Linked DNA regions of Saccharomyces cerevisiae S288C. The protein of the gene in region 1 binds, or shares a complex with, the protein of each later gene. Each region holds a gene or a part of one and is shown in the gene's direction. Other genes may lie near its edges. The genes, in order: HFI1, NGG1, ADA2 and SGF73.

The links.
Region 2: HFI1 (region 1) and NGG1 share a complex: the UniProt entries of both Saccharomyces cerevisiae proteins name them as parts of the ADA/GCN5 complex.
Region 3: HFI1 (region 1) and ADA2 share a complex: the UniProt entries of both Saccharomyces cerevisiae proteins name them as parts of the ADA/GCN5 complex.
Region 4: the proteins of HFI1 (region 1) and SGF73 are in contact, whole or in part, in a cryo-EM structure (PDB 6T9I), measured with the Saccharomyces cerevisiae proteins. Residues at the interface, in NP_015069.1 of Saccharomyces cerevisiae: Tyr181 (codon at 2,280), Lys183 (codon at 2,286), Ile184 (codon at 2,289), Ser187 (codon at 2,298), Leu188 (codon at 2,301), Arg195 (codon at 2,322), Met198 (codon at 2,331), Ile199 (codon at 2,334), Lys201 (codon at 2,340), Glu202 (codon at 2,343), Ala203 (codon at 2,346), Arg206 (codon at 2,355), Phe208 (codon at 2,361), Ile209 (codon at 2,364), Phe210 (codon at 2,367), Phe214 (codon at 2,379), Gln215 (codon at 2,382), Ala216 (codon at 2,385), Arg217 (codon at 2,388), Leu218 (codon at 2,391), Asn219 (codon at 2,394), Asn220 (codon at 2,397), Ile221 (codon at 2,400), Pro222 (codon at 2,403), Lys223 (codon at 2,406), Ile224 (codon at 2,409), Pro225 (codon at 2,412), Ile226 (codon at 2,415), Val227 (codon at 2,418), Thr228 (codon at 2,421); in NP_011449.1 of Saccharomyces cerevisiae: Pro354 (codon at 4,903), Glu355 (codon at 4,906), Glu357 (codon at 4,912), Thr358 (codon at 4,915), Thr359 (codon at 4,918), Gln360 (codon at 4,921), Val361 (codon at 4,924), Leu362 (codon at 4,927), Gly364 (codon at 4,933), Val365 (codon at 4,936), Arg367 (codon at 4,942), Ser368 (codon at 4,945), Phe369 (codon at 4,948), Pro370 (codon at 4,951), Leu371 (codon at 4,954), Pro372 (codon at 4,957), Leu373 (codon at 4,960), Ser375 (codon at 4,966), Val377 (codon at 4,972), Leu378 (codon at 4,975), Ser379 (codon at 4,978), Ser380 (codon at 4,981), Val381 (codon at 4,984), Arg382 (codon at 4,987), Tyr383 (codon at 4,990), Arg384 (codon at 4,993), Thr385 (codon at 4,996), Tyr387 (codon at 5,002), Phe388 (codon at 5,005), Arg389 (codon at 5,008).

The regions. Positions count from the first base shown.
Region 1 is NC_001148.4:67,746-75,179, forward strand, and holds HFI1 (Hfi1p), read left to right. Parts: upstream 1-1,739; coding exon 1,740-3,206; downstream 3,207-7,434. Other genes in the region: BBP1 (Bbp1p), read left to right, coding at 1-1,137; VIK1 (Vik1p), read right to left, coding at 3,318-5,261; YAH1 (adrenodoxin), read right to left, coding at 5,618-6,136; ATG41 (Atg41p), read right to left, coding at 6,564-6,974. UniProt on the Saccharomyces cerevisiae protein: Component of the transcription coactivator SAGA complex. SAGA acts as a general cofactor required for essentially all RNA polymerase II transcription. At the promoters, SAGA is required for transcription pre-initiation complex (PIC) recruitment.
Region 2 is NC_001136.10:809,141-817,472, forward strand, and holds NGG1 (histone acetyltransferase NGG1), read left to right. Parts: upstream 1-5,311; coding exon 5,312-7,420; downstream 7,421-8,332. Other genes in the region: SUP35 (translation termination factor GTPase eRF3), read left to right, coding at 1-1,241; ARG82 (inositol polyphosphate multikinase), read right to left, coding at 1,425-2,492; HMO1 (Hmo1p), read left to right, coding at 2,970-3,710; mitochondrial 37S ribosomal protein mS35 RSM24, read right to left, coding at 4,053-5,012; E2 ubiquitin-conjugating protein UBC1, read left to right, coding at 7,738-8,332. UniProt on the Saccharomyces cerevisiae protein: Component of the transcription coactivator SAGA complex. SAGA acts as a general cofactor required for essentially all RNA polymerase II transcription. At the promoters, SAGA is required for transcription pre-initiation complex (PIC) recruitment.
Region 3 is NC_001136.10:1,354,509-1,361,597, forward strand, and holds ADA2 (chromatin-binding transcription regulator ADA2), read left to right. Parts: upstream 1-1,556; coding exon 1,557-2,861; downstream 2,862-7,089. Other genes in the region: ECM11 (Ecm11p), read left to right, coding at 1-125; 40S ribosomal protein eS17 RPS17B, read right to left, coding at 321-728, 1,043-1,045; snoRNA-binding rRNA-processing protein UTP6, read right to left, coding at 3,072-4,394; 40S ribosomal protein uS13 RPS18A, read left to right, coding at 5,415-5,461, 5,897-6,290; YHP1 (Yhp1p), read right to left, coding at 6,612-7,089. UniProt on the Saccharomyces cerevisiae protein: Component of the transcription coactivator SAGA complex. SAGA acts as a general cofactor required for essentially all RNA polymerase II transcription. At the promoters, SAGA is required for transcription pre-initiation complex (PIC) recruitment.
Region 4 is NC_001139.9:373,766-381,752, forward strand, and holds SGF73 (deubiquitination module subunit SGF73), read left to right. Parts: upstream 1-3,843; coding exon 3,844-5,817; downstream 5,818-7,987. Other genes in the region: DNA-binding transcription factor AFT1, read left to right, coding at 1-319; DNA-directed RNA polymerase II core subunit RPB9, read right to left, coding at 694-1,062; mitochondrial 54S ribosomal protein bL12m MNP1, read left to right, coding at 1,322-1,906; NPY1 (NAD(+) diphosphatase), read left to right, coding at 2,336-3,490; ALG2 (GDP-Man:Man(1)GlcNAc(2)-PP-dolichol alpha-1,3-mannosyltransferase), read right to left, coding at 5,995-7,506; MRH4 (ATP-dependent RNA helicase), read right to left, coding at 7,758-7,987. UniProt on the Saccharomyces cerevisiae protein: Component of the transcription coactivator SAGA complex. SAGA acts as a general cofactor required for essentially all RNA polymerase II transcription. At the promoters, SAGA is required for transcription pre-initiation complex (PIC) recruitment.

The DNA.
Region 1 (7,434 bases):
GGCGGAGGGGGCATTTTTGGTCTTTTCAAATGGACTAAGGATGCGCTGTTTGGTACGGACATATCACCTTCAATGAAATATAAAGATCAGGAAGAACGAAGAGACCGATCTAGGTATGCCCAAGACGACACAAATTTTTCTATGAAGTTTGGAAATGACTCCAACAGGAGGAGTACAAACTTATCGAGGTCAAATTCGTGGTCTGGTCTGGATTCAACGCTCCATAGGAAGTACGAGTTACTCCCAGAGTACAACGAGAACGGCTTTAACTCAATTGTTAACGGTGACCACCACAGCAAAGAGAGAATACGATCTTTACGAAGTCCTGCTCCGATAGTACCGAGAGAACCACTTCGTAACGAACCTACGGATACATTTGGTCACAGACTACACACAAAAAGGAGAACTATAAATGAGCTTTCCAATTCGCAGATACCCTTTATACCACCTCAGGAAGACGACCCTTTGCTCTCGAAATTATTTAACAAGGATGGAGTTAATGAGGTTAGAAGATCGCCCTATAAGTTATCGGTTAAAGATATACCAGGCAAATTTCCATCTCCCTTAACAAAACGTGATGAAATAGACAATTACTATGTCCGGGACGAAGATGCTTGCCACAAGAATAGAGAGTATAAAAAGGCATATTTTGATCTTTTTGCACAAATGGACTTGAACAGTAGAGACCTGGAAGATTTGTGTGAGGATGTTAGAGAGCAGCGTGAGCAATTCCACAGGAATGAGCAAACTTATAAGCAAGCATACGAGGAAATGAGAGCAGAACTGGTCAACGAGTTGAAGAAATCTAAGACACTCTTTGAAAATTATTATTCATTAGGTCAGAAGTACAAGAGTTTGAAAAAGGTCCTTGATCAAACGATCAGTCATGAGGCTGAACTGGCCACTTCTAGGGAACGGCTGTATCAGGAGGAGGATTTGAAAAACTTTGAAATACAAACATTGAAGCAAAGACTATCCGATTTAGAGCTGAAATATACCAATTTGCAAATAGAAAAGGACATGCAGCGGGACAATTATGAATCCGAAATACATGATTTATTATTACAGCTTAGCCTTCGTAATAACGAGAGAAAAGATACTTCTGCTGGTTCGAATATTTTTTCAACAGGACAATAGGACAGGACTCCATTCCACAATGGAAATAACAGTTACGACTCTAATTCGCATTCATGGGACACTGATTACTTAAAAAATATAGACGGATTCATAGAACGCTGAAGCAGAAAAGCTGACACGTTTCTCCCACTGTAACATTAAAAATACGTCATGATAGCAATGATAATGTGTTAACTACTTAGGTATGTACATTATATAGATAACGGAATAAAAAAAGATACGTTCTTATTATCATCACTCAACACGAGCTGTAATTCCCGCCCATTTTTTCTTCATTATCAGGTTGCGATTTTGAACAAAAAAAGTGAAACTTGAAGTTACGATGTGACATAAATTTGTTAAAATAAAAAAGATAAAATTCAGGATAGAAGTAGGTGCAACGCGAAATTGTCTCTGTCTACTTGTGCCTTGAACATCGAACTTACAACAGATTAACAAAGTATCGTTGCTCTTTTCATTCGTCTGTTCGTTATCATCATTGGATAGGGCTTACTTTCTCGCACGTGATTTTTCCCACAGTATAAATTTTGAGCTATAAGTGGTAATAAAAATTCAATAAAAATATAGGGAAAACAAGCCCAGTAGTTTTGATTTCTTCTATCATGTCAGCTATACAATCGCCAGCACCTAAACCTCTGCAGCCAACTTATCCAGCTGCTTCGCCAGCTTCCACGAATGCATATATGAAGCCGGGCCTAATTGGTAGTCCTGCCGTCAGTAATCATACCGAGCCTAACAATGGTAACAATGAAACTGCGGAGCCTCAGGGACCAAATCAGAGAATTGATTTGGGTGCCATGATCGAAGAATTAACCTCACTATTGGGAAAAGAAAGCTGGACGAAATATGCTCAGATCATCAGTCTTTTCATTTTAGGGAAGTTATCCAGAAAGGAACTTTCTAATGAATTAGAGCTGGTATTTTCACCAAGCGCTGCAAGCTTAGAAAAATCAAATACAAATCATCACCATAGTTTAGTACGACTTCATAACCAACTTTTATTAGGGATTTTTGCTAATTCATTACGTGAAAACCCTCTTGGGAGAAACGGTAATGAGAGTTCTTGGGGATTTGGCAATGGAAGCAACAATCCAAACAATAAACTAAAAAGAATCAATAAGCATAACTCTCAAATTGAAGTCTATAAAAAAATTGTCATGTCGTTACCTCTAAATGATCGAAATAGACTTAAAATGATCACGAAAGAGGCCGGCAAAAGAGGCTTCATTTTTTGCTCTGTATTTCAAGCCAGATTAAATAATATACCCAAAATTCCCATTGTAACCAATCCAGAAAGTTTGAAGCGTGTCAAGAGCAATAATTTAAAAACGCCGCTGGAATGGTCACAAGATATAATGAATGGATTCAACGTTCCTTTAGCGAGCGAAAGCCATTCTTTACCAGACACGGATTCGTTTTACTTAAGAATGGTTGGTATAGCAAGAGAACATGGGTTAGTCGGCACAGTGGACGCACGTTGCGTAGAGCTTATATCATTGGCCCTAGATCAATATCTAAAAAATATAATAGAGTTTACTATTGATACAGTTCGTTATAGAAGGAAGAAATATTCAGATTATTATGATTTGAATGAGAGTGGGCTTTATAAATCCGTATCAGAAATGGCTGCTGATAAACGCGATGCCAAAATTAAGCAGTTAGATGATGATAAAAATGAGGATGAATGTGCCGATGAAGCCAAAAGTATTAATAACGGCAATAACAGTAGCAAGGACGATATTGGCGACATATCAATGAGCAGCATTACAAAGGCTGGCGAAGCAGTTAATGAGGAGTTACATGAAAACAGAACGATATCATTAACGAATGAAGACATATATGATTCGTTATCTATATTTCCGAATTTGGTTGAACCTTCAGGTTCATACTATGCGTTAACTAATTTAGGGCTAGTTAACGATGATGAACTAGTAGATATGAAGAGCAATATTGACGACTTGCCGGACTTCTTAAATGAAAAGCCGACTTTCACGCCTTTGGATGAAAGAAACGTTGGTACAAGGCATGAATTAAATTGGTTAATTAAAGGAATCTTAACGGAAGATTGATGTATAAAAAGTGTGTGTATGCGGTATGTTGTAATTATATTGAAAGATTATAAACCTTATTTGTTTCATATCTAAATGGCTGTGTTAAGAAAGACGATAATGTGACCGAGCTTAAGTGAGCTTTTTCTTTCTTTTACAAAGTTGTGTTTGAACTTCTTCTGAAATCGTTAATAATTTATTGACATTTTTTGAATCGTTCAAGTTTAGCAAGAAAAAGGATTTAGTATCAGAAATTAGTTTTTTCAGAACAAGTGCAATAGGGGTCTCGCATGATTCCTTCTTAAAGATGCTTTTATCAAACTGTTCAATGGACTTCAGATTATTTAACTCGATAAAATAAAAGTCCACCGGTACGGGGTCATTGTTGCCATCGCTTTTTGAATCTCGAGGAAAAAACTGCACCTTGATTATACCCATCCCAGAATGAGGTAAATTTGGGTGTTCATCACAACTAAAATTTAAGGGCAAATCTTCGAGTCCATTTTCTATGATGACAAGTTTGGAATCCAAAGAAATTGAGTGTTTTTCAAATTTCAACTTTATGCTATCTTTATCATTGTGGGAATAATCCAAGAGCATGTCCTGAGAAAATTCGTCATCTGATAAAAATACAAACTGTAAGGTGATCACATATTGTTTTTGATATATTGTATCCTTTTCGGCCAAAAATTTTATTAGAGACTCTCTCAATGAGCCATGTGGAGTGGTGCTTAGAGATATTAAGTTGAAATTTTTTTTTTGGTTCAGGCACATATCATGGTAAACGCTATACTCTTGAGTGAAAAATTTATCTTCAGAAACTTTTAAATGCGGTATCACCCTATTAAATTTGTAAACATGTTCGCTTAGACCTTGGGTTATTACGCCATTTTCGTAATCAAATAAAAGGTTCTCAGGCAAATTTTGCTCCATCACGTAAGCGTAACAGCGCATCGTGCCTTTTTGTTCAATAATAGAGTTTTCAAGTCTCCTACTCCGCAGGAGTTCTTTTTCCACAGTGTTATAGGTATCATTATAAAATTTTTCCTGTTTAGAGGCCATTTCTTTCAAATTTTCCATTTGGTTTTGTAAATGTTCCAAATCTTGCGAGTTTTGTAAGGATTTGCTTATTAGTGGGTTGTTTGCCAATTCCAATTGTTTTATATTTTCATTTATTTCTGAGATGTTTTGTTCCGAATATTCAGCTTGTCTATCTATATCCATGATCTCCTTGTGTAACTTCTCACTTTCCGATTGTAGAGTGGCTATCTGATCAAGTAATTCACGATGTTTGTTTGTCAAATTTTCCATGGATTTTAACTTAGCTTCTTTGAATGCAATAAAATCCTTCCTCAATTGTGATTCGTGGTTTACTTGTCTTTCCAAGTTTTGCTTCTGTAAATTCGCCCAATTTATGTTGAGCTCTTGCAGCGTTTTCTTCAACTGAGATATTTCCTCTGTGATTTCGTGGTCAGGCTCGACATTTTCCATTATTTGCAGCTCATTTTCCCAAAAGATAAGCTTATTATTGTACAATTCTTGAGATTCCTGCCTTTTCAAGATCAGATTCTGGTCGAGTTCAGCCTGCAAGGTTGCCAAAGCGGATTTGTTCTTCTTAATTAAATCAGCGCGTTCACCGTCCTTGGAGTTCAGATTTTGCGTCAAATCTCTAACCTGTTTGAGATACTTTGCTTGTTTGGATTTTTTCTTATAAAGTTCAAACCTGGACTTATTGAGATCTCGAAACTTGATGGTTTTGATTTCTCTTTCGCACTCAATCAATTGAGTCCTGAGAGTATGTCTTTGGAACCTTATTTTGTCTTGGCGGTCTTTTAAGTCCTTAATTTTGCTCATGTTGATGTTTAATGATGCAGATCGAGATACAGATGGGAAGGAATCCTTTACGGGTGGAAGAGCCAATGAACTCTTCATAGACGAAGGTCTAGAGCCATTCATGGTGTTTGTCGTGTTTGTGATATCCATAAGGTTTCGAGATTTTGATGAGGACACATTATCGGGATTGTGAAAGATTCTATTCTTTGAAAGAAAAGCGTGTTTGTTTTGCTGTGACGCCATAAAGTACACTGGTCAGGAAATGGTGCTTTTGCGAGGAGAATGTGTGTGTATGTGTGTGTTGTTAGGGCATTTCATATTCTATATTCATTGTTTTTTTGTTTTTTTTGTTTTTTCAGTTCTTTGTTTACCTATTTTTTCTTTGCCGCAATTGCAAATATTATTAACTTAATTGCGATTATTGAGACTAAACAATAAAGACCTGGCAGTGGAGGCATGACAGAGGATATCGCGAAACGATTGTTTAAGAGTATATTATAAAGTTGACTTGTTTCCTTATAATTATAATTATAAATATATATATATAGATTATTCACAGGAGAAATTGGGGGCACAAATGAGGGGTAAAAATGCAGACATTAACTAAAATCGTTGTTATTAACGTTTCTTGTCATCTGGGGCAGAGCGACTCTAATCCCATCGATATCTTTTGACATCTTAATCTGGCACCCAAGCCTGCTTGTCTCTGTTAGCCCGTAAGCAAGATCGAGCATATCGTTTTCATCATCTTCAGGTTCCGGCAGGGCATCGTAGTAGTCTGGATCAACGATGACGTGACAGGTGGAGCAGGCACAAGAACCGCCGCATGCGCCCTCCATGTCCAGGTTGTGACCTTGAGCGATGTCCAGGATGGTTTCGCCCTCACAGACTTCGTACGTCTTCTGGGAGCCATCCTTCAGAATAAAAGTTATCTTCAGTTCTTCGCCTGGTTTCGGTTTTTTCAAATGGCCATGGTTTAAGAACGAAGACGTAGAGAAGGGCAGAAATCTTGTGGTTGTGGTGGTGCGTGTGAGCAGAGATGGAGAGGTGCGTAAAAGATGTGCTGCGATGTTCGATATTCTAGCTGTGTGTCCAGCCCGAGTAACAATTTTCAGCATTGGGGGCGGGTTGAGTATAGATACGAGAAGCGCCTATTTCGTATGAGGTTTTTTTTTTCTATTATTATGTATATTAGGCATATATATACATATATATATTTTGCATACATATTCATTTTTAAAAAAATGCAACTGCTACACGCTTTGAAAGATTCAATGAAAAGTTTTTCCGACGACCAGAATTGGCTAGCAAAAAAACGAAAATGTAATGGAGTCATGCAAACATGACTAATAGTAACAAAAAAAAAAGATATAGTAGAATTGAGTAAGTAAGTTCTATGTATATTGTTGTTATTTTCTCTAAAAAAAAAAAAAAACTATGTAAAATTAGGAATTAAGAATATGCTTGGAAGGAATGCCGATTTAAAATGTGTAGGATATGCGATGCAAGGGGTCGTGAGAACAAGTAGAGATGTGGTAAAATGCGTCATACCGATGACAACCACAGTCTGTAGTTCTGTTGTGCGACATTGGCAAAGGCATCGTTACTTGCAAAGGCAAACCCAGAGGCAGAGTTAGATTCCTTACTAGCAGCAGCAACTGCACTGGCGGCGTTGCCGTTAAATTCCATATCGAACATGCAATCGTCTTCAGTACTCGTTATTATGTTGCTGTCCGTCTTATCTTTAGTGTGCGTGCATTCTGACTCATCGACAATCGGGTACGATAGCGGAAAAGTTAGCAATTCTTGCTGGTAAGATTGAGAAAAGTCATCGGCATAAGTCGATCTGTCCGGGCTATGCGAGAGCATAGGGGGCTCGAAAGCAACGTTTGAAAACGAAAGAGGGAAGACCTCGTCTTCATAGCGCGAGATGGGGGAAGATTCCACAGAGGACATTGTAAATAATTGTAATTGTATATTATTGTGTGTAAGTTTGGTTGGTTTGGTGTAGCCAATTTAGTTTGGTTTTCTCAAGAATAAAACAAGTAAGAAAGAAAGAGAGTTGCTCCAGACCCTTTCCGAAATCAAGATGAGTCCTGTTCTTATATATACCTTTTTACGCAGAGCCGCTTCTTTATGCACCGTGGAGTAATTACCGAATTGCAAAACCACCCGGGTGTGGATGTGGATGCAAAATAACAGTGAAATGAGTAATAACAATGGTCATAAACATGTGGTGTGCAATGTGTCATCTTCGCGCGCGTGCTAAAAAAAACGAATAACGGTGGTGATCCCGCGGCTTTCCACACTGACGGGGTCACGTGTGTTTATTCTGTTTTCTTCTAACGGCTTCTGTAGATTTCCGGACGGTTCCACGCAGCGCCACAGCTTGGTTCCAGATCGACGGAAGAGAACG
Region 2 (8,332 bases), on another chromosome or scaffold:
AATCTACTATGGGTGGTAATCTACTATACTTGACTGGCTCTGTGGATAAGAGAACTATTGAGAAATATGAAAGAGAAGCCAAGGATGCAGGCAGACAAGGTTGGTACTTGTCATGGGTCATGGATACCAACAAAGAAGAAAGAAATGATGGTAAGACTATCGAAGTTGGTAAGGCCTACTTTGAAACTGAAAAAAGGCGTTATACCATATTGGATGCTCCTGGTCATAAAATGTACGTTTCCGAGATGATCGGTGGTGCTTCTCAAGCTGATGTTGGTGTTTTGGTCATTTCCGCCAGAAAGGGTGAGTACGAAACCGGTTTTGAGAGAGGTGGTCAAACTCGTGAACACGCCCTATTGGCCAAGACCCAAGGTGTTAATAAGATGGTTGTCGTCGTAAATAAGATGGATGACCCAACCGTTAACTGGTCTAAGGAACGTTACGACCAATGTGTGAGTAATGTCAGCAATTTCTTGAGAGCAATTGGTTACAACATTAAGACAGACGTTGTATTTATGCCAGTATCCGGCTACAGTGGTGCAAATTTGAAAGATCACGTAGATCCAAAAGAATGCCCATGGTACACCGGCCCAACTCTGTTAGAATATCTGGATACAATGAACCACGTCGACCGTCACATCAATGCTCCATTCATGTTGCCTATTGCCGCTAAGATGAAGGATCTAGGTACCATCGTTGAAGGTAAAATTGAATCCGGTCATATCAAAAAGGGTCAATCCACCCTACTGATGCCTAACAAAACCGCTGTGGAAATTCAAAATATTTACAACGAAACTGAAAATGAAGTTGATATGGCTATGTGTGGTGAGCAAGTTAAACTAAGAATCAAAGGTGTTGAAGAAGAAGACATTTCACCAGGTTTTGTACTAACATCGCCAAAGAACCCTATCAAGAGTGTTACCAAGTTTGTAGCTCAAATTGCTATTGTAGAATTAAAATCTATCATAGCAGCCGGTTTTTCATGTGTTATGCATGTTCATACAGCAATTGAAGAGGTACATATTGTTAAGTTATTGCACAAATTAGAAAAGGGTACCAACCGTAAGTCAAAGAAACCACCTGCTTTTGCTAAGAAGGGTATGAAGGTCATCGCTGTTTTAGAAACTGAAGCTCCAGTTTGTGTGGAAACTTACCAAGATTACCCTCAATTAGGTAGATTCACTTTGAGAGATCAAGGTACCACAATAGCAATTGGTAAAATTGTTAAAATTGCCGAGTAAATTTCTTGCAAACATAAGTAAATGCAAACACAATAATACCGATCATAAAGCATTTTCTTCTATATTAAAAAACAAGGTTTAATAAAGCTGTTATATATATATATATATATATAGACGTATAATTAGTTTAGTTCTTTTTGTACCATATACCATAAACAAGGTAAACTTCACCTCTCAATATATCTAGAATTTCATAAAAATATCTAGCAAGGTTTCAACTCCTTCAATCACGTTTTCATCATAACCCTTCCCCGGCGTTATTTCAGAATGTGCAAAATCTATTAGTGACATGGAACTCAAAGAACCAGTTGTTTTTTTGTCCTTTGGTCCTTCGCTGCTTCCCTCGGCATCATCATCATCATCATCATCATTATCATCATCGTCGTCATCATCGTCTATAAAATCATCTCGCATAAGTTTGTCAACATCATTTAGTAATTCCCATCGCTCCGGGTCTCCTTCGTAAATAAACAAAAGACTACTTGATATCATTCTAACTTCTTCTTCTAGCATAGTATTATAAAACAACTGCAATCTTTTCAAAAATGTTTTCTTCAGTTGATGCTTTCTCGCATCCGACAGATGAGGATTGTTAAAATAAAGTTCAATTGCATCTGAAACATTTTGATCGGTTCTTGAACGACCATACAATTTGTTTATAAAGATATAATCACTGTCTGCTTCTTCTTCGTAATATTCGAGCGAAAGCTGATTCAGCACAGAGGGATTTTTCTGTATTTTCATGCCACATATCCTGAAACCCAAAGATCCTGAAGTCGTCGTCTCACTGACTCTTTTCATTCTCTCTCTTTTTTCCAATGATGCCTTCGAATCATACAAAGTTTTGCCTAATTTTATATCAAGTATATTAGGTTTACTAAATCCATATAGTAGATTTTCTAAAACGAGGTATTGCTTGGACTTCTCAGACTTTACAGGTATTGAATCAAGATTATCAGTGGAATCACTTAACCGCTCATCTATCTTCAGAAGCGCAGCATCGCCACTTTGCTCGATTTTTGCCCCTTCATTCAAGACTCCAAGATACGTGGGCATCCAAGAGCACAAGGGAGCATCTCCATCAGCCGAAGACTTTCTTCGACTCACATCTCTCACTTGTATGGCTTTGTAGAATTCCAGTTCCTGCGGAAAGGCCGGTTTAAAGATGAGCAATCCATCACCGTCTGTTAGAGTACCGTCGTGGCCAGCAGCTTTATGCTCTAAAACCCTATAATTGTTTACCGTATCCATGTGAAAAAAATTTCTACTTAGGCACACGTATGCACATATCCATGTAAGCTACTAATGGAAATTGTTTAACTGATTACTGGTAAAAAAGGGATCTCCAATGGCTTTATCTTATTCCATTTTGTCCCACCATTTGTATACAGTATAAAGACATTTTGGTGAGATACTTAGTTACCCAGCCTACTTCTGAGAAATATTACCCGACTCGATTATCTACCAATTGGCTTCGAGAACGTGGTTTTTCACCATTTTTTTTCCCGCTTTTTTTTTTCATCCGACCGTTGTGGCGGAGAGAAGCTTCCGGAAGGGAATTCACTCAGATTCTCTCCAGTACCACGGGGGGCAACTCTGCCTGGAACACTCTCTTCCTTCAAGAACTTAGCAAGAAGTACCAATTAGTCCCAGCGGGCCCTCAGGGCTGGTCTACTGCCTTATACTCTAGGATGTACATCCTACCACACACAACAAGCCTGTCACACCATGACTACAGATCCTTCTGTCAAATTGAAGTCCGCCAAAGACTCCCTCGTCTCCTCCCTCTTCGAGTTATCAAAAGCTGCTAATCAGACAGCCTCCTCTATTGTTGATTTCTACAATGCCATCGGCGACGATGAAGAAGAGAAGATAGAGGCTTTCACCACTTTGACTGAGTCTTTGCAAACATTGACTTCTGGTGTAAACCACTTGCACGGCATCAGCTCGGAGCTGGTTAACCCTATTGATGATGATAAAGATGCTATTATCGCTGCTCCAGTCAAGGCTGTAAGAAGAAAGATCGAACGTGATCCAAATGCTCCAAAGAAGCCACTGACTGTTTTCTTTGCTTACTCTGCGTACGTTCGTCAAGAACTTCGTGAAGACAGACAAAAGGCTGGCTTGCCACCTTTATCCTCAACTGAGATTACTCAAGAAATCTCCAAGAAATGGAAGGAATTGAGTGATAACGAAAAAGAAAAATGGAAGCAGGCTTACAACGTCGAGTTGGAGAATTACCAAAGAGAGAAATCCAAATACTTAGAAGCAAAGAAAAACGGTACCCTACCACCAGCTTCCTTGGAAAACGGTCCAACTCATGCGCCGGTTCCAATTCCTTTCAGTTTACAGCACGCCGCTGAACCTCCTGTGGAAAAGAGACCTCACGATGATGATGGATCTTCGGAAAAGAAGAAGAAGAAGAAGAAGAAGGATAAGAAGAAGGACAAATCCAACTCTTCTATTTGATGGACGGACAAACTCGTTACTATTACTCTACTGTCTTTCTAAAATAAATATAATAATAAAAAAAGGAATAAAATATAGCAGCATGGGCTTGCTTTGCCCATAGTGTATGCACATATATATATATATATATGTATCTATCCCTCTCCTCTTGTAACAGTATATCTTCCTTTTCATTTTCGTTGTGTATATGTATGTATATAGTTCTAAATTTGCGATTATACCTTTTCAAACCTCTCAATGTTGTATTGTGCTAAAACTATGTACATTTTAGAGAAAAAGAAGGAAGCAAAACAAATACATAATATATACAGGGGGGCCGTTCTTTTTGTTTTTGAACATGTATTAAAGAGTGCTCAATAATTGATCTACAATATCAAATTTCTTCTTTGGTGCATCTTCAGGGCGTTTCCAGTGTTCAGGAAACTCATAATCCCGCTTCTTTTTACGTAAACTCTTAGCTATAGTATGCCTTGTGTCAAGGGGAACATCGCTAAAATCGTCCTCCGTCAAATCTTTTGACTCCGCTAACAGCCTTTGAAGAATATCATGCAAATAACGTGCATTTTGTGATGCATGCTCAAATTTGTCACTAGACATTTTAAAAATATCTGTAGTATGATCATAACGCGACCTGGCTAATATTCTGAACTTATGTAATGATTTTTCCTCCAGGCCCAATTCCTTGGTTTTAACGCTTAATACAACCTTCCTCGAATTGGGATGCTCTTCGCCAACATAACTAGTGTATCTATAAGTGACCGGATGACTTTCTGGAGATGGTCTCTTGTATTCCTGGCGATATTGAGCTAATAGCGGTAACTCATATGCGGCTAATCGATTATAGAACCTTTGTTCACGATGTTGGGCAACCAATTCCTGAGCTTGCGATGGCAATTCATCAAACATAAACGGTCTAAGACTGTTATCGCGATTCACGTTTCCACCTTTTATATCAATAGCGCCTTGTTCTCCTCTGTGATATAGCTTTTTAATATCGTTAACAGGTACATTTGAGTACTCAGAAGTGGTTAATAAGGCATTCAGTTCGTCTTTGTTAGGTTTATACTCTGAACCCAATCTAGCCATTCTCTCCCAATATAACTCTAAAATTCTTTGAGGAGGTAAACCCTTCCATTTTTCGGGATGCATATAGAGATCTGCTGAAAAAGCTGGTCCTTCTCTCACAGTTTTAGCTTCATTACCAGCATCACTGTTCAAACATCTAGACATTGTCAAAACCCTTTTCTGGGTGCTCCACAAATTACCCCGAGAGACTTTCCATAACCCCAATGGTACTTTCATCTTCCTAAGAATAGTATTTTAGTAGTGTCAAATGTTTCGGTAACTCTACTGCCTTGTTCACAGATCGAAATATACTCAGAATCAGTTACAGAAAAGGTCCCATTTAGCGTAATTTCTTAGCGGAACTCATTAAAGAGCTCCGACGTGCAACGCGATAAAGGTTCGCCGACGACAACAAAACAATGGCAGGCAGTCATTAAATGAACGCCATCAAATGAAATATTCGTGGTAGCGATTACAATAAGGAAGTTGGAAAAACATAACAAAGACGGAGCGACGAGAAGTATTGGACAGGACATATGCCTAGACATGGAAGAAGAGGAAAACTGCCAAAAGGCGAGAAACTTCCTAAAAAGGAGGGAGGCGACAATACTCCGTCAAAGCTTTTATCGTCAATGCTTAAAACTTTAGATTTGACCTTCGAGCGTGATATTGGAATGCTCAATGGCAAAAGTGTTAGGTCCATACCCAATAAAAAAACTTTACTTGAATTGCAAAGTCAATTGGATAGTCTCAATGAAATACTGGGTACAATTGCCCGAGGTGATCAAGAGACCATTGAAGCGCTTCGGAAAATAAGAGACAGTAAAAATGAGAAGCAAGCAAACGATGAAAAGCAGGAAACTTCAAATGCAGACGGGCAGCACGAAAGTTCTACTGCTACTGAAGAAACGAATATAATTGATAAAGGGGTACAAAGCCCACCAAAACCTCCTCCTTCTAATGAAATCTCCGGCACAATTGAGAACGATGTAGAAAGCATCAAACAAGCGGCTGATAATATGGCTAAAGAAGAAATTAATGAAGACAAAGATTTACAAGTTCATAGAGATCAACCCAGAGAAAAGAGGCCGTTCGATTCTGAAACTGAAAATAGGGCCACTGAAAATGAAAACACACAGAGGCCAGACAATAAGAAGCAAAAAATTGACGTTGACAAAATGGAAAACGATCCAACTGTTAAAAATCCAAAATCAGAATTTGTAGTATCGCAAACGTTACCTCGAGCAGCAGCAGCACTCGGCTTATTCAATGAAGAGGGACTAGAAAGTACAGGAGAAGACTTCCTAAAAAAAAAATACAATGTAGCTAGTTATCCAACAAATGATTTGAAAGATCTGTTACCAGGTGAATTACCGGATATGGACTTTTCGCATCCTAAACCAACCAACCAAATTCAATTCAATACCTTTCTAGCATTTGTGGAAAATTTTTTCAAAGATCTTAGTGATGACAACTTAAAGTTTTTGAAGATGAAATATATTATACCCGATAGCTTGCAATTTGACAAAACTTATGACCCTGAGGTAAACCCGTTTATTATACCGAAACTAGGCCCTTTATACACAGATGTTTGGTTCAAAGATGAAAACGACAAAAATTCTGCCTATAAAAAACCTTCACCATATTCAAACGATGCATCTACTATACTACCAAAAAAAAGTGCCAACGAACTTGATGATAATGCTTTGGAATCGGGCAGTATATCGTGTGGGCCCTTATTATCTAGGCTGTTGAGTGCTGTATTAAAAGATGACAATGACAAATCAGAATTGCAATCTTCTAAAATAATACGGGATGGCGGACTACCGAGAACCGGAGGGGAAGACGATATACAATCGTTTAGAAACAACAACAATGATACTGTAGACATGACATTATCTCAGGAGAACGGGCCCAGTGTTCAAACACCTGACAATGACATTGATGAGGAAGCATCTTTCCAAGCAAAACTGGCAGAAAATAAAGGCAGTAATGGCGGTACTACAAGTACGTTACCCCAACAAATTGGGTGGATAACAAATGGAATTAACCTGGACTATCCAACATTCGAAGAACGATTGAAAAGAGAACTAAAGTATGTAGGGATATACATGAATTTGCCTAAGGATGAGAACAACCCTAACTCAGATGACCCCGATTGGGTCACCGGTAGAGAAGACGACGAAATAAGCGCAGAGTTAAGAGAATTGCAAGGCACTTTAAAACAAGTGACCAAGAAAAACCAAAAGAGGAAAGCCCAATTGATTCCACTAGTGGAAAGACAACTAGCATGGCAGGAATACTCATCTATTTTAGAAGATTTAGACAAACAAATCGACCAGGCTTATGTCAAACGTATTCGCGTACCCAAGAAAAGAAAGAAGCATCATACAGCAGCTTCAAATAATGTGAACACAGGAACCACGTCTCAAATAGCACAACAAAAGGCTGCAAACTCAAGTTTAAAATCCCTTCTGGATAAAAGGCAAAGGTGGATTAATAAGATTGGTCCATTGTTTGATAAACCTGAAATTATGAAGAGAATCCCCAATGAAAGCGTATTCAAGGACATGGACCAAGAAGAAGATGAGGATGAAGCCGATGTATTTGCACAAAACACTAATAAGGACGTGGAACTAAATTAAAATATACGAACTCTAAGGAAAAATACGTAGCATAATAACGCATATAACTAACAATTTGGATAACTATCCATAAAAAAAAAAAAATAGTCACATAATACGAACATTAATATCCTTTTTTGTTACATTTTCTTCCATCTGAAATATTTGGAGGGGCAAAAACAATGAGATGACAGTTGAATGCATGAACTTCCGATCGCGGGCGTATAGGTAAAGTCAATTGAAGCAAGTGTGACGACATAAGTATCGTAATTTAGTGGTTGGATACATTAAAAAAAACAAGTGGTATATATATAAGTAGTAGTAGTAAGAAGTAAGCGATGTCTAGGGCTAAGAGAATTATGAAAGAAATCCAAGCTGTGAAGGATGATCCTGCAGCTCACATTACTCTTGAATTTGTGAGTGAATCTGATATCCACCATTTAAAAGGCACATTTTTGGGCCCACCTGGAACACCTTACGAGGGTGGCAAATTTGTCGTGGATATCGAAGTACCTATGGAGTATCCATTCAAACCACCAAAGATGCAGTTCGACACAAAAGTATACCATCCAAATATATCATCAGTGACAGGTGCCATTTGTTTAGATATTCTTAAGAATGCATGGTCGCCAGTGATAACACTAAAGTCTGCATTGATTTCGCTACAGGCGCTACTACAATCTCCAGAGCCTAACGATCCTCAAGATGCAGAAGTAGCACAACACTATTTACGGGATAGAGAATCTTTTAATAAGACTGCTGCACTATGGACGAGGTTATACGCCAGTGAAACTTCCAATGGTCAAAAAGGCAATGTAGAGGAGTCTGATTTATATGGGATTGACCACGATCTGATTGACGAGTTTGAATCTCAAGGTTTTGAAAAGGACAAGATTGTGGAAGTGTTGAGACGATTAGGCGTCAAGTCCTTAG
Region 3 (7,089 bases), on another chromosome or scaffold:
AATTTAAGGGTATTATTTCTGTAATCAATGATAGGGCAGATGCCCTAGAAGAACAGGGTCAACAACTAGAAGGAAAAATTAAGAAAGTTAAAACTTTGGCTAATGAAATTCTCAATATTATATAAACGCTTCATAAAGTTGATCAAAGGTGCTATATTCAGTAACAAAATGCTTATAATTAAGAGAATACATCCCTAATAATGAATCATATCTTTCATATTTTAGATGATATTGAAATTATTTAACTATACATAAGGAGAGTCCTCAATGAAATGGAGTAAAACAGACGACATGATAATAACTATATCAATTCATGCTTTTTAGTTTCTCTTTCTGTAACGTCTGTCTCTTTGAGCGGAAACGTTGATGACAGATAATGGCAACTTCAAACCCAAAGATTTAACCAAGTCAGAGGTTTGGTTGTCAACGTTCAAAACACCGTTAGAACGAGACAAGTCCAAAGCAGAGACTTCTGGGACGTATTGATCCTTTCTTTCTCTTTCTTCTTCTTGCAATTTGAAAGAAATACCTCTAACTGGACCCTTTTGGATTCTTTTCATCAAATGAGTAGTGTAACCAGCAATCTTGTTTCTCAATCTCTTGGATTGGATAGTTGCAATTTCATCACAAAGTCTCTTGTTAGTTTGGAAATCCAAGGTCAACTTTGGATAGTAACGTTCAATCAAAGCCTTGGAGGCACGTTTGACGGTCTTGGTTCTAACTCTACCCTATAAAAATAGCAATAATCAAATGAGACAACTTAAGTTAGTAAATACCTCTCTTCAAGACCATTGGATAAGATAGAATGTGCCATTCGAAAGCAATTGGTTATTTGGTGATCTTTTAAATATCTACTACTTCATTGAGCGCTCTTCTAAACTAATCAGTAATGGAGTTTTCTAATCTGCTCATAAATAAGAATGCCCTGCTGGTCCCCTCGTTCCCATAACGCTTTCAATCTCTCTGCAAACCTTGCCCTCATTTCATGTGTTCAGCGCCCAGTCCATCATATCCGGCTTCATCAACATCTCGTGGTACGTACCATTTTTATCTGCTTTTTTCTTTATCTATTTATTCTTCTCTAGGTTATACAACGCAAAATAAATAATTAATATGTAAAATATCTGTTTACTTGAAATTTACCCTTAACAGAGGTACTAACGGGAGGAAGGACTGGCCTTGCTCCGGTAGACCTCGATGCCTGAACCTTCTCCCTCATCTCGAAACGGTACGACCTCTGAGAAAACGATATCAATCAATGCGCGTCTTCCAGATGAAATTCTTCGGAATGCCCATAATACGAAAAACTAACGATGGAAAAAATACTATAAATGTATGGGTGTAATTTTAACCGAATGTATGGATGTTACAGGGAGCTTTATATATGTAGAAAATTCCAGACGTTCCAAACAAATAAGTGAAAATCAACACGATTGGGAAAGTACATGCCAGAGTTCGATGTTTAGGTTAATGATAAAAATAATTTTTCTCTAATCACCCTCCATTTTCGATAAAATATCAGCGTAGTCTGAAAATATATACATTAAGCAAAAAGAATGTCAAACAAGTTTCACTGTGACGTTTGTTCAGCTGATTGCACGAACAGAGTGAGGGTTTCATGTGCTATTTGTCCCGAATACGACTTATGCGTGCCCTGCTTTTCACAAGGCTCGTATACAGGAAAGCATCGCCCTTACCATGATTATAGGATAATAGAGACCAATTCATACCCCATTCTCTGTCCTGATTGGGGTGCCGATGAAGAATTGCAGTTGATTAAAGGCGCACAGACTTTAGGGCTCGGTAATTGGCAGGATATTGCTGACCATATAGGCAGCAGAGGCAAAGAAGAAGTTAAGGAACATTACCTAAAATATTATCTGGAAAGCAAATACTATCCAATACCTGATATTACCCAAAATATACATGTCCCACAAGATGAATTTTTGGAACAGCGAAGGCATAGAATCGAGTCCTTCCGGGAGAGGCCGCTAGAGCCTCCAAGAAAGCCCATGGCATCGGTTCCTAGCTGCCATGAAGTACAGGGGTTTATGCCGGGCAGATTAGAATTTGAAACAGAATTCGAAAATGAAGCTGAAGGTCCCGTAAAGGATATGGTTTTTGAACCTGATGACCAGCCCTTAGACATTGAATTGAAGTTTGCCATCTTGGACATTTACAATTCTAGATTGACAACCAGAGCAGAAAAGAAAAGGCTATTATTTGAAAACCATTTAATGGATTACAGAAAGTTGCAAGCTATTGACAAAAAGAGGAGCAAAGAAGCCAAAGAATTGTATAACCGCATAAAACCTTTTGCTCGTGTTATGACTGCACAGGATTTTGAGGAATTTAGCAAGGATATATTAGAAGAATTGCATTGCAGGGCAAGAATACAGCAATTACAAGAATGGAGAAGCAATGGGTTAACCACGTTAGAAGCAGGTCTTAAGTATGAACGAGATAAGCAAGCTAGAATTAGCAGTTTCGAGAAATTTGGCGCTTCTACGGCGGCGTCACTCAGTGAGGGCAATAGCCGTTATAGGTCGAATTCTGCACATAGGTCGAACGCAGAATACAGCCAAAACTACAGCGAAAATGGCGGTAGAAAGAAAAATATGACCATTAGCGATATACAGCATGCACCTGACTATGCACTGTTGTCCAACGACGAGCAGCAACTTTGTATTCAACTGAAAATTTTACCTAAACCGTATCTCGTTCTAAAAGAGGTAATGTTCAGAGAACTGTTGAAGACTGGGGGTAATCTAAGCAAAAGCGCATGTAGGGAACTACTTAATATAGACCCCATAAAAGCGAATAGAATATACGATTTTTTCCAGAGCCAGAATTGGATGTAACAAAAAAAAAATTGAAAAGTAACTACAATTGTCACTAGTTATTATTGGCCAAGTCATAAAGGGACCTTGTCTCGATTTTATATACCGTATATCGGTTCTTTCCAATTTTTTTTTTTTTTTTTTTTTTTTTTTTTTTTTTTGGTTGTAATATTAAAAGAATAAACATTTATCTGATATGTAATTGCATTTATAAAATGTACAGTACCGCATTTAAAGTTTGCTGATAATTAAATCTAGAATTTTATACCTAGGATCATCTTCTGCATTCATCTTTTTCAAATAATTGTCTTGTAAATATGAACGATACTCATTTTTCAATGACTTCACCGATGCGCTATCCAATTTCGATATATATGCAAAATACTTCTTAACAGACAATTGTAATTGATCAATATCGAGTTTCTCAACTGGCATATATCTGATATTTAGAGTGATGTCAATCATTACTGTTTTCAAATACAATTCTGGTAGATCCTTACGGAGCGAAAGGTCATACATGTCATTTTTCCAAAACTGCAACACGTGATTGATAAGATAGTCTCTTTCCAAGTCTAAAAATTCATCAAATAGTTTAATATACCTTAGTGACTCACTGAATAGGTAATTCAAGGTCTCCTTATTTAGTTCAATATTCATTTTGGAATCTGAGATGGCATAGTAACCCTTATGCTTATTAATATAATGCTTGCCCAAAGTCTTCATACACACATCGAAAATAGTTAATGCAATGTCACCGCGTAATGCTGGGTTGGTCTCTGCATTACCTAGTACGCTGATGTCTGCCTCTGGTAACTCGTTTAATTTATCTTTCATTGAATCACCAGTGGATGGAACTTGTAAATGAGATTTTTCTTCGTCGGGGGCTTGGTTATTCTTTTGTTCATTTTGCATGTCGAGCTCCTGCTCTCTTTCATTGATTAAACCCATCACTTTTCTTCTGTTAATCAACTTAGTGATGAAATTCAGCTCGAATTTTACATATTCATACCATAGCTTAGGCACATCAGGGTTAAACCTCAACCCATTCTGAAAAATATTTCTACAACTCTTGAAGTTAGCATGAACTTCATATTCGTATTTCGCACAACTAATCCAAATGTCCACATTCGTTGGGTGCAACTTTAGAAGCTGATTATAAATGTTGTGAATTTTTTTGTATGATGTTTGGTTACCTCTCGCTTTCATGTAGTTCAAATACATTGCCCAAAACTTTAAATCTTGTGGAAATTTGTTCGTTCCTCTTTGATAAATAAAACCTATTCTTTGTTGAATAGACCAATCAGATAGACTGTTCGTCTTTTTAACCTGTAAGATTCTCTTACACCGCTTGGCACGTAATTTATTGACGTTACTTTCATAGTTAATGTATTTTATATAGTCATTTATGCTAGACCCTCTGGAATTTAATCTATGCTCAAAATCAGTTCTTTTCTTCATAATTAATGAAACTTCATTTTTAGTGAATAGTCCTTTCTCCACCAAGTCATCCATTTCAGGAATACATTGTTCCAAATAGTATCTTGTCTTCGACATTATTAGAAATCGGTGATGTGTGTATCTCTGGTCAATTTCACAATGTTATGCCCTTAGATATGTGTTTATTCACGTTCACTGTGTGTTCCTGATATTTAGCTCATCGCCCAGATCTTTCTAAAAAATTTTCAAGAGAATACCCGGATGAAAAAGCGTGTTCGGATTCCCATCACTTAATGAAGCTTATATCTGACAGCGCAGGAAAAGCACAAAATAGAACCTAGCCACTTCGCGTAAAAGCTCATAATGTTAACGATATAGTAATATTTTGACGCATCGAACTTTATCACCCGCAGCATAAAGTACTGATACTACAAGTTTTTTTCGTTATTCTTACCGGTATTGCGCTAAAGCAGTTTTGCACCTGAAAACAAGTAAAAATAGGACTTGAAAAAATTAAATAGCATACATGTATAATATAATCTTGATCACGGCAAGTGTTTCAATAGAGATGTGGTTATAATTTGTCACTTGTGCAGTCAATACCTTAAATTAACTTTTACAAAGTATTTTTTTTAAACGGCCCATGAGCATAAATTGAGAACGATATTATTAATTCTAGTATATTTTAGGAACAGCAGGCCATTATATCCAAAACTTTTTTAAAATAGCATCCACATCACTTACTGGCGTACAGTTTCGTGTCTGGCAACAAAAAAGTACATTTAATTTCAATGATTAAAAAGACATTAAACATCCGTACATTACGCACCCATGCATGCTATCTGAAAATATTCTACATGCTGCTTTTAGAAATTTGAAGCGGCATATGGTGTTTCCTTGCGGAGACGCGCGCTCAGGGGAACTGCGATTCCGAAAGATGCCTTTCCCAGTCCCATATGCCCATCCCAAGATCATGCCCGGGAGAGCAAATGTCGCCCCAGCCAGGTCGGACACATCTGTCATTCGACCACTAAGTATTGTCAAAGCTAGGGTTAATTGAAGATAGCTCTACATGTTATTAGTAGAGTTTTTAAACGTTGAGATACTAGTGAACGTATACACAAGAGCGGATAAAAGATGTCTTTAGTTGTCCAAGAACAAGGTTCCTTCCAACACATTTTACGGTATGTTTATTATTACTAGTGAGCTATGACAAAATCGGCTAAAAACTTAAAAATATGACAGACAAGAAAGGAAATTCATTCACCTCTTTAATCGTGGCGATTATTCGCTAACGACGTGATTAAATATAATAATGATGTTCCCGGGCTGGACTAAGAACGTAATAATAAGGCTGATGAACAAATTTATGGTTTATGCATCAAAAAGGAACATGAATTTGGCATAAGCGCACATAATTACGGAACATTGCAATAGCGGTCGGAGGTAAAGTACCGGGAATGCTTTACAATGAATCAGCTATTGGCGGATATTGACCAACCAACACTAAAATTTTATATCCTGCTCCGATTTTTGTCTTGGCCGTGAAATCCATTATGCACATTTTTTACTAACGTTTATCAATAAGTTCGGTTTCCCGTCTAAATTTTTTTACGCAGTTTGTTGAACACTAACGTTGACGGTAACATTAAGATCGTTTACGCTTTGACCACTATCAAGGGTGTTGGTCGTCGTTACTCCAACTTGGTCTGTAAGAAGGCTGATGTTGATTTACACAAGAGAGCTGGTGAATTGACCCAAGAAGAATTGGAAAGAATTGTTCAAATTATGCAAAACCCAACTCACTACAAAATCCCAGCTTGGTTCTTGAACCGTCAAAATGACATCACTGATGGTAAGGACTACCACACTTTGGCTAACAACGTCGAATCCAAATTGAGAGATGACTTGGAAAGATTAAAGAAAATCAGAGCTCATCGTGGTATCAGACACTTCTGGGGTTTGCGTGTTAGAGGTCAACACACCAAGACCACTGGTAGAAGAAGAGCTTAAACTGATAAGATTATTCAAGCTTAATCTTTTTTGTACGAGTACATATATTTCCATAGCACTTCCTAATTGACTTTTTTTTAAAATAAATAAAGAAAAGAAAATTAATTTTGTGACCATAATTTCAACTTGCCTTTTTTTTGTACAGGGTTTCAGGGATAAATGGACCCTTGAAAGAATATAATATTACATCTCTATATAGATTTATGAAACAGGCCGCTTTAAATCTAAAAAAAAACGTTGGTGTAGTCTCAGTCATTACTTTGTGTAGTTTTTGTTAATATTGATAGCATCAGTGCTCAAGAAAATAAACACTGAGAAAGATTAGTTTTTGAAAGAATTGAGATCGACCTCCCCAAGGGGTTTTCTTTCGTATGCATTGAACTTTAGGCGGTTTTCCTTGCCTTTAGGACTTTTGATAATCTCGCTATGACCGGTATTTGATAATGTTCTCTTAACAAGCACAGATTTCCTGTGGAACTTGAGCTGTCCGCCGGGCTTGCAAGGCGTTATGTGGTGGTCTTCGAAGATCGAGGACGTATTGGCAGGTGAAGTTTTCAGCAACTCTGCAGTAATAGCCTCCTTCGTACTCGTTGGCGTAGAGGTAATTTCCAACGCAGCGTCTGAGTAAGATATCATAGACATCGAATCATTAGAGTGAACTTTGCAATGGCTGGTGTTGCCACTGTTCTTGTGCTTTTTAGCAGCCTGCCTTTTGTTCTGAAACCATATTTGAACCGATTTTTCGGACATATTACATTGCTCGGATAACTCTATCCTTTTAGCCTTATTGGGCGTGGGA
Region 4 (7,987 bases), on another chromosome or scaffold:
CGAATTGAAATTTGTACAAAATGGCCCACACGGTTCTCAACATCCTATAGATTTTCAACATGTTGACCATCGTCATCTCAGCTCTAATGAACCTCAAGTACGATCACATCAATATGGTCCGCAACAGCAGCCACCGCAGCAATTGCAATATCACCAAAATCAGCCCCACGACGGCCATAACCACGAACAGCACCAAACAGTACAAAAGGATATGCAAACGCATGAATCGCTAGAAATAATGGGAAACACATTATTGGAAGAGTTCAAAGACATTAAAATGGTGAACGGCGAGTTGAAGTATGTGAAGCCAGAAGATTAGCATATAGATGAAATCAAACTTAGACGTATCTCTCGTCCATTTTCATTACATTTTCATCTTTCTTCATTAATTATATACTGAACATATACGCATCTATACAATTTTGACTTTTTAAAGAAGAAAAAGAAAACAATAGTATACATTCTTTTTTCTACTTTTGTTACAGATAAAAAATCGTTCTTATTATATTACATATATCGGTGCTAAGATCAGGATTTTTTCATGTTCCTTCCCCCTGTTATTTCACATCATCCTTTTGCCGGTAGATTAGGCTGGTGTAAATAGTAGTGCTTTTCTCATACATACAAGACATACGTGAAGATAAGTCCCATTTTCTCTCCCTCTGTCATTAATTTTGAAAGTTCGTTGAGCACTCATGAAAACTGCGTCCTTTTGTTTTTTTGATCTGAAGTAAATATGTGTGAGCAAGATAAGCACACAAAGAATAAAACCATCGAAGTATCCTTTCTTCTTTGTTGTGATTGAAAAAACACATTTTCCCGAGAGTGACATTTGGGACATTCTCTATCAGATCTCGGAAGAGTGGGATCGGAACCAATATCTTGCACCACTCCCGCAGTTTCACCAATGTTGGTAATCAATTCATGCCTGTAGACCAATGGACTGCCCGCTTCTTCTACATACGAGCATGTTCTGCATTCAAATAACAACCGGTTATTTTCTTTATCCTCACGAGGGTACAACATATTGTTGCAGTCACGACAAAATCTAAACGTAGTCATAGCAGTTTTAAGGGGAGTTTAACTTGCTCTTTTGGCTAGATTTTGTAACTTTCGTTCTACCTAGAATCTGCTCTTGTTCCATTTGACTTACTCTTTAACGCTATTCACCAAAACAAAATTTTTCAACTTACCCGCCCTATGTCTTGAAGTCCAATAAAACAACTCAAACTAATGGCAAACAAGAACTCGGTAAGTTCTGGAAGGAACAGGACAAGCAGCCCGTCAGCAGCAAACACAGTCAATTAAATAAGCGCCCAGTATGTCCTTACGTATACTAGCGAAGAGATCTTCTTCTATCTGGATGAAAACGCGCGTTACACCAGCGCTAATTTCTCCTATTACTATCACAACCCGTTTCAATTCTACGACTACAACAGCACCATCACATAAGGATGATGTAAGGCCAGTTGATCCTAAAATTTCTAAAATTGTACAGGACATTTCACAATTGACTCTTTTGGAAACTTCCAGTTTAATCAACGAGCTGAAAACCGTATTGAACATTCCAGAAATTTCCATGCCTATGGGCGGATTCATGGCAGGCGCTGCAGGCGCAGGTGCTGGTAATGTACCTAGCTCCACTGGTGAAGCTGGTAGTGGTGCTGAAGAAGAAGCTAAGCCTGAGGCAAAGACCGTGTTTACGGTGAAGTTGGACTCGTTCGACACGAAGACTAAGGCTAAAGTCATCAAGGAAGTCAAGGGATTATTGGGGCTTTCATTAGTTGAAGCTAAGAAATTCGTTGAAGCTGCACCAAAGGTCTTGAAAGAAAATGTCGCCAAGGATGATGCTGAAAAGATTAAGAAAACCTTGGAAGACTTAGGAGCTAAGGTCAGTTTAGAATGATTTTAAAACTGTAGCAATCTACCAATCGTGTTAATCAAAATAGTCTGTTTTCTCTTCGAGAAAATAAGGAATATATCATGTAAATATGTTTAACTCTTTATTCTTCTTTCGTCCTGCCTTTTATATATTTTGCCACATCGCTTCTTGCAAGTAGATGTATAAAAATGATTGATTTCCTTATTATTTTCTATAGTATCTTCAACTTCATTATGGCATTCGTTTTCGTGTTATAAGTATTTCAGACGGGCTAATCTATCACTTCATAAATCTACTTTTCCAACTTACAAAAGCGGTTGCTTTTCTTCGAAATATAAAGCCCACCAACCATAAGAATAAAGAACAAGAGCAGGAGCGAAACGAAAGAGAAGATAAAGATTGTACCTTTTTGCTCCTGATTTTTTTTTGATTACGCTACGGTTAGTTGAGAGAATGTCCACTGCTGTGACTTTTTTTGGCCAGCATGTCTTGAACAGAGTTTCGTTCTTAAGATGTTCGAAAGAGTTCATCAAAAAATCATTGAACCATGACTCTACCGTTTTTATCCCATTTATCGAAGGGGAAGCCCTCATTTCGCCCGAAAATGGTGACCTAGTTCAGCTTTCTAATTCTGTAAAGTCTTACAAGAATATTTTGTCAGCAATAGTTCCTTTATACACTACTTTATTGAACACAACTCGCTCAAGAAGCGATGAATCAGGCATCAATGTAACATTTTTAGGTCTCCTGGAAGGCACAGATTCTGCATTTAATTTTGAATGGTCTAATATTTCTTACAAAGGAACACCATATTTTGGATTAGATATCCGTGTTACTGAGAGCACACTCTTCAAGAAAGTCGACTTTGAGCCTATTTTTTCCTATCCGAAGGTGACCAGAGATCACATTTTCAAACAAACAAATGAGGATGCTTCACTTTATTCACAAGGTAAGATGTATCTGGATTGGCTAGCAAAGTACAAATTCTGTCCCGGTTGTGGGTCTCCGTTATTCCCAGTAGAGGCAGGAACTAAGCTTCAGTGTTCTAATGAAAATCGGAATGTATACTGTAATGTGAGAGATGCAAGAATTAATAACGTTTGCTTCCCAAGAACTGATCCAACGGTCATTATAGCCTTGACCAATTCGGATTACTCTAAGTGTTGTCTGGCAAGATCAAAAAAAAGGTACGGTGATTTTGTATTGTATTCAACAATAGCAGGTTTTATGGAGCCATCAGAAACCATAGAGGAGGCTTGTATCAGAGAAATATGGGAGGAAACAGGCATTTCATGCAAAAATATTGATATAGTCCGGTCACAGCCCTGGCCTTACCCTTGCAGTTTGATGATTGGCTGTTTAGGCATAGTTCAATTCAATTCCAAAAATGAGGTTATCAACCTGAATCATGACGACGAATTATTGGATGCTCAATGGTTTGATACAACTGAAATCATTCAAGCTTTGGATAAGTACGCCGGCGGGTATCGTGTTCCATTCAAAAATGATATCAATTTACCTGGAAGTACTACCATTGCCTTCCAATTAATCAATCATGTTTGCGAGAACTATAAAAACTTACGTAAGACCTCATCGAGCCATCTATAGTTTTTAATATAATAAACATTGATAAATAGGCGTGCTTCAGCATATGGATATTTTTCACTCAGTTACCCGAAGAAAACAGAGGTGCGTCATAATGCAAATGCTAAATGAATGAATATAGGATGTTAGATTGCTGGTACAAGCAATTTTGAAACAAAAATCATTACGAACAGAAGAAAGTGGAGCTGAAGAGCGTATATAGTTGTTCATAGCTGTAAAATAATTTCTAAATTACTATTTAGAACCTTTTTGATATCCAGCATCGCTCATTAGAGATTAATTTACCAAAACGGAATAAACCAAAAAAATAAGAATAGTGAACACACAAGAGAAGCGCAAAAGAGTAAAGAGCTAAAATGAGGTCAGGCGATGCAGAGATTAAAGGAATTAAGCCCAAAGTTATTGAGGAATATTCTTTATCTCAGGGAAGTGGTCCTTCCAACGATTCATGGAAAAGTTTAATGTCGTCCGCGAAGGACACTCCTTTGCAGTATGATCACATGAATCGCGAAAGTCTAAAAAAATACTTCAATCCGAATGCACAACTCATTGAAGATCCTTTGGATAAACCGATTCAGTATAGAGTGTGCGAAAAATGTGGGAAACCCTTAGCTTTGACAGCAATTGTAGACCACTTAGAAAACCATTGTGCGGGAGCATCTGGAAAAAGTAGCACAGATCCAAGAGATGAGAGTACTAGGGAAACGATACGAAATGGAGTAGAATCAACTGGGAGAAATAATAACGACGATGACAATAGCAATGATAATAACAATGATGATGATGATGATGACGATAACGACGACAACGAAGATGATGATGACGCTGATGATGACGACGATAATTCCAATGGTGCCAATTACAAGAAGAATGACTCTTCTTTTAACCCTTTGAAAAGATCCACATCTATGGAATCTGCGAACACACCAAATATGGACACGAAAAGATCGAAAACTGGGACTCCTCAAACCTTCAGCTCTTCCATAAAAAAACAAAAGAAAGTCAAACAAAGAAACCCAACTGAAAAGCATTTAATTGATTTCAACAAACAGTGTGGTGTAGAGTTGCCGGAAGGTGGTTACTGTGCACGTTCGCTGACATGTAAGTCCCATTCAATGGGTGCAAAGAGGGCTGTCTCTGGTCGTTCCAAGCCCTACGACGTCTTGCTAGCAGATTATCATAGAGAACATCAAACAAAAATTGGTGCAGCTGCTGAGAAACGTGCTAAGCAACAAGAATTACAAAAATTACAAAAGCAGATACAAAAAGAGCAGAAAAAACATACTCAGCAACAGAAACAAGGTCAAAGGTCTAAGCAAAGAAATGTGAATGGTGGGAAATCAGCCAAAAATGGTGGTAAGAGTACTGTACACAATGGTAACAATATCAATGAGATAGGACACGTTAACCTAACTCCTGAAGAGGAAACAACACAGGTTCTAAATGGGGTATCCCGATCTTTCCCACTGCCACTAGAGTCAACGGTACTATCGTCAGTTAGATACAGGACTAAATATTTTAGAATGAGGGAAATGTTTGCTTCCTCCTTTTCTGTGAAACCAGGATATACATCTCCAGGTTACGGTGCGATCCATTCTCGTGTAGGATGCTTGGATTTGGATAGAACAACAGATTACAAATTTCGTGTTAGGACTCCACAGCCAATTAATCACCTCACAAACCAAAACCTCAATCCGAAACAAATACAAAGACTACAACAACAGAGAGCTCTACAGGCTCAGCTTCTTTCTCAACAACAGCAACAGCAGCAACAGCAGCAGCAACATCACTCACCCCAAGCGCAGGCCCAGGCCAGTACCCAACAACCTACTCAAGGTATGGTGCCCAATCATTTCCCCGGCGGGGCAACGAATTCATCATTTAATGCCAATGTGTCGAGCAAGCAAATTCAGCAGCAGCAGCAGCAGCAGCAGCACAAGTCTCAAGACACAGGTCTCACGCCGCTGGAGATACAATCACAACAACAAAAACTACGACAACAACAACTACAACAACAGAAGTTTGAAGCTGCTGCTTCATATTTAGCCAACGCTACCAAATTAATGCAAGAATCAAATCAAGATAGCCATTTATCTGGCACCCACAACAATAATAGTAGTAAAAACGGTAACAATAACCTCATGACGATGAAAGCCTCCATAAGCTCTCCCAATACTAGCGTAAATAGTATCCAATCTCCCCCTAGTGTCAACAGCGTCAATGGCTCCGGGCAAGGTGTATCTACCGGTATTAATGTCTCTGGCAATAACGGGAGAATTGAAGTAGGTATTGGAAATTCTGTGAACCCCTACAATGGCAGAATAAATTAATTGAATCATGCACGTTATCCAGCATGTTCACGAAGTGAGTAATAAAAAATTATTCGCCGAAGTAACATGTACACGTCTATGTTTGTGGACAAGTTACGCTATTTGCATTTAGAGATTTCTTCTCCAATGTAAATTATTTTTTCTTCGGGGGGTATACATTATTTATTTAAGTAGACATTATATTTCTTCATAAGGGTAGGAGAGAGCGAATACAAATGCCCAGTAAATTCCCCATAAGTAGTTCTTAAAATATAATACCATAAAAGTGGCCATAAATAGGAAGGGCCATGGATTATTGGGTAGAATTTTTATAAATGCCATATGCAAAATAAAATTAGAGAATGAAATACCGAATATTTCCCAAGGATAATACTTTTTTTCTTTCCATATGACTTTCTCGACGTTTTCTTCAAATGACTGAGTCATTGCTTCCCTAGAAAAGTATTTCTTGACTCTTAGCGGGCCATTCCTCTCAAAGTTCACAGAACCGTTCTGCAAGATCTTTCTGCTTTCATCAATTGCAGTAGCCCATTGAATAGGGACGGCAGGTTTTAGCCACCCAGTGGCAGAACTTTCATTTTCACCAGCAACGTAAGATTTGATAGTCTCCAAAGGACCTCCATTGTTTACTGCTAGTACAGGCTTACCTAATTTCATGGCTTCTAAAGGAACAATACCAAAGTGCTCATATGCTGGTGTATACAATAACATTTCGGTTCTTTCGAGCAGTAATTCTTTCAGAGATGATGAAATGGAAGTTAAAAATATAATTTTACTATTATTGGTTTTGAATGACTCTAAATCGGAGACGCGCTTTATTTCTTGGTAGTATATGGTTGTATGGGATAATTCGTATTCATCGGCCAGAGACTGTAGTTCCTTCAAGTACTCCACATTTTCTGCAACCCTCTCGTCATAACCACCGCAAATAACTAACTTAACGTTGTCATTGATTTGATCTTCAGATAACGCAAAAGCCTTTATAGCCAGCGCAACATCCTTTTTTTTCTCAAAACGATTTATACTTAGGTAAAATCTATCGCCTTCGTTAAACACTGTTTTGAAAAATTTCTTGTCAATATCTTCAATTTCGATTGTTGATAAATCCACGCATGGATAAATGACGTCTGGATCATTGGATAAATACTTGAACGTTTGGTGGAACGTATTCTTAGTGAAATTTGAATTTACCACAACAGTATCGGCAGCACTCACGGAAAACTGTTCTATTAAGTCAAATGGTAGTCTGTATATTTTCTTCAATAGCCCAGCTCTTTGAGCCAATAATTGGTCGGGGAAATGACAATAAAACATCAAAGTGGCAGAACTAAAGATATGCAGAAGCGGAATACATGTAGACAGTTGATCAATGATAATTAATTGGTACGCATTCACTTTTTTCTGTAGGATCAATTGAATAACTAAATAAAGCTGTCTAATTGTTGCGAAAACAATAAAAAAACGACCCAAAAAGTTTGTCGGTAAAAAATCACCATAAACTTCGACTTTTAATTGGCCGTTTTTAACTTCTTCGAAACAATGTGATTTATCACAGTGACTAGTATAGATGATTACACTATGTCCTTGTTGCTGTAGACCTAATGCTGCATCGACGACTAACCTTTCAGCGCCCCCAATACCTAGGTCTGGATGAATAAAAGCAATCGTTCTTTTATCCTTTTCAATCATTTTTGCTTGTCTAATCGACTCTTTTTTATCTGTCTTTACTACTGTATCTATTTCGTGACTTCTTAAATGGCGAACGTAATCTTTTGATGTTAAAATGAATACATCATTTATTTTGTTGTTCGCGCGTTCATCTAGCCAGGCACTTGTTTATAAAAAAAGAAGCTATACGCAAGGCTCTCGATCTATAAATTGTATCTGTGATTGTGACCCTTTCGTATATATGTTATAATATTTACAAGAATATACATTTATCATGATAATCTCTGGTGCTTTTTGATGATCTTTGGAAGAGCTTTAGCCCAAGATTTTGTTTTACTGTCAGTTAGCATAAATACGCGGCCGCCCTGTTTCATTCTAGCAGTTCTGCCCACTCGGTGTATCAGGTCTATTGACGTTTTGGGTACATCGTAGAGAACAACATTCCGTACACCTTTGAAATTGAGCCCTCTTGCCATGAGGTCGGTGGTTACGAGTACATGCA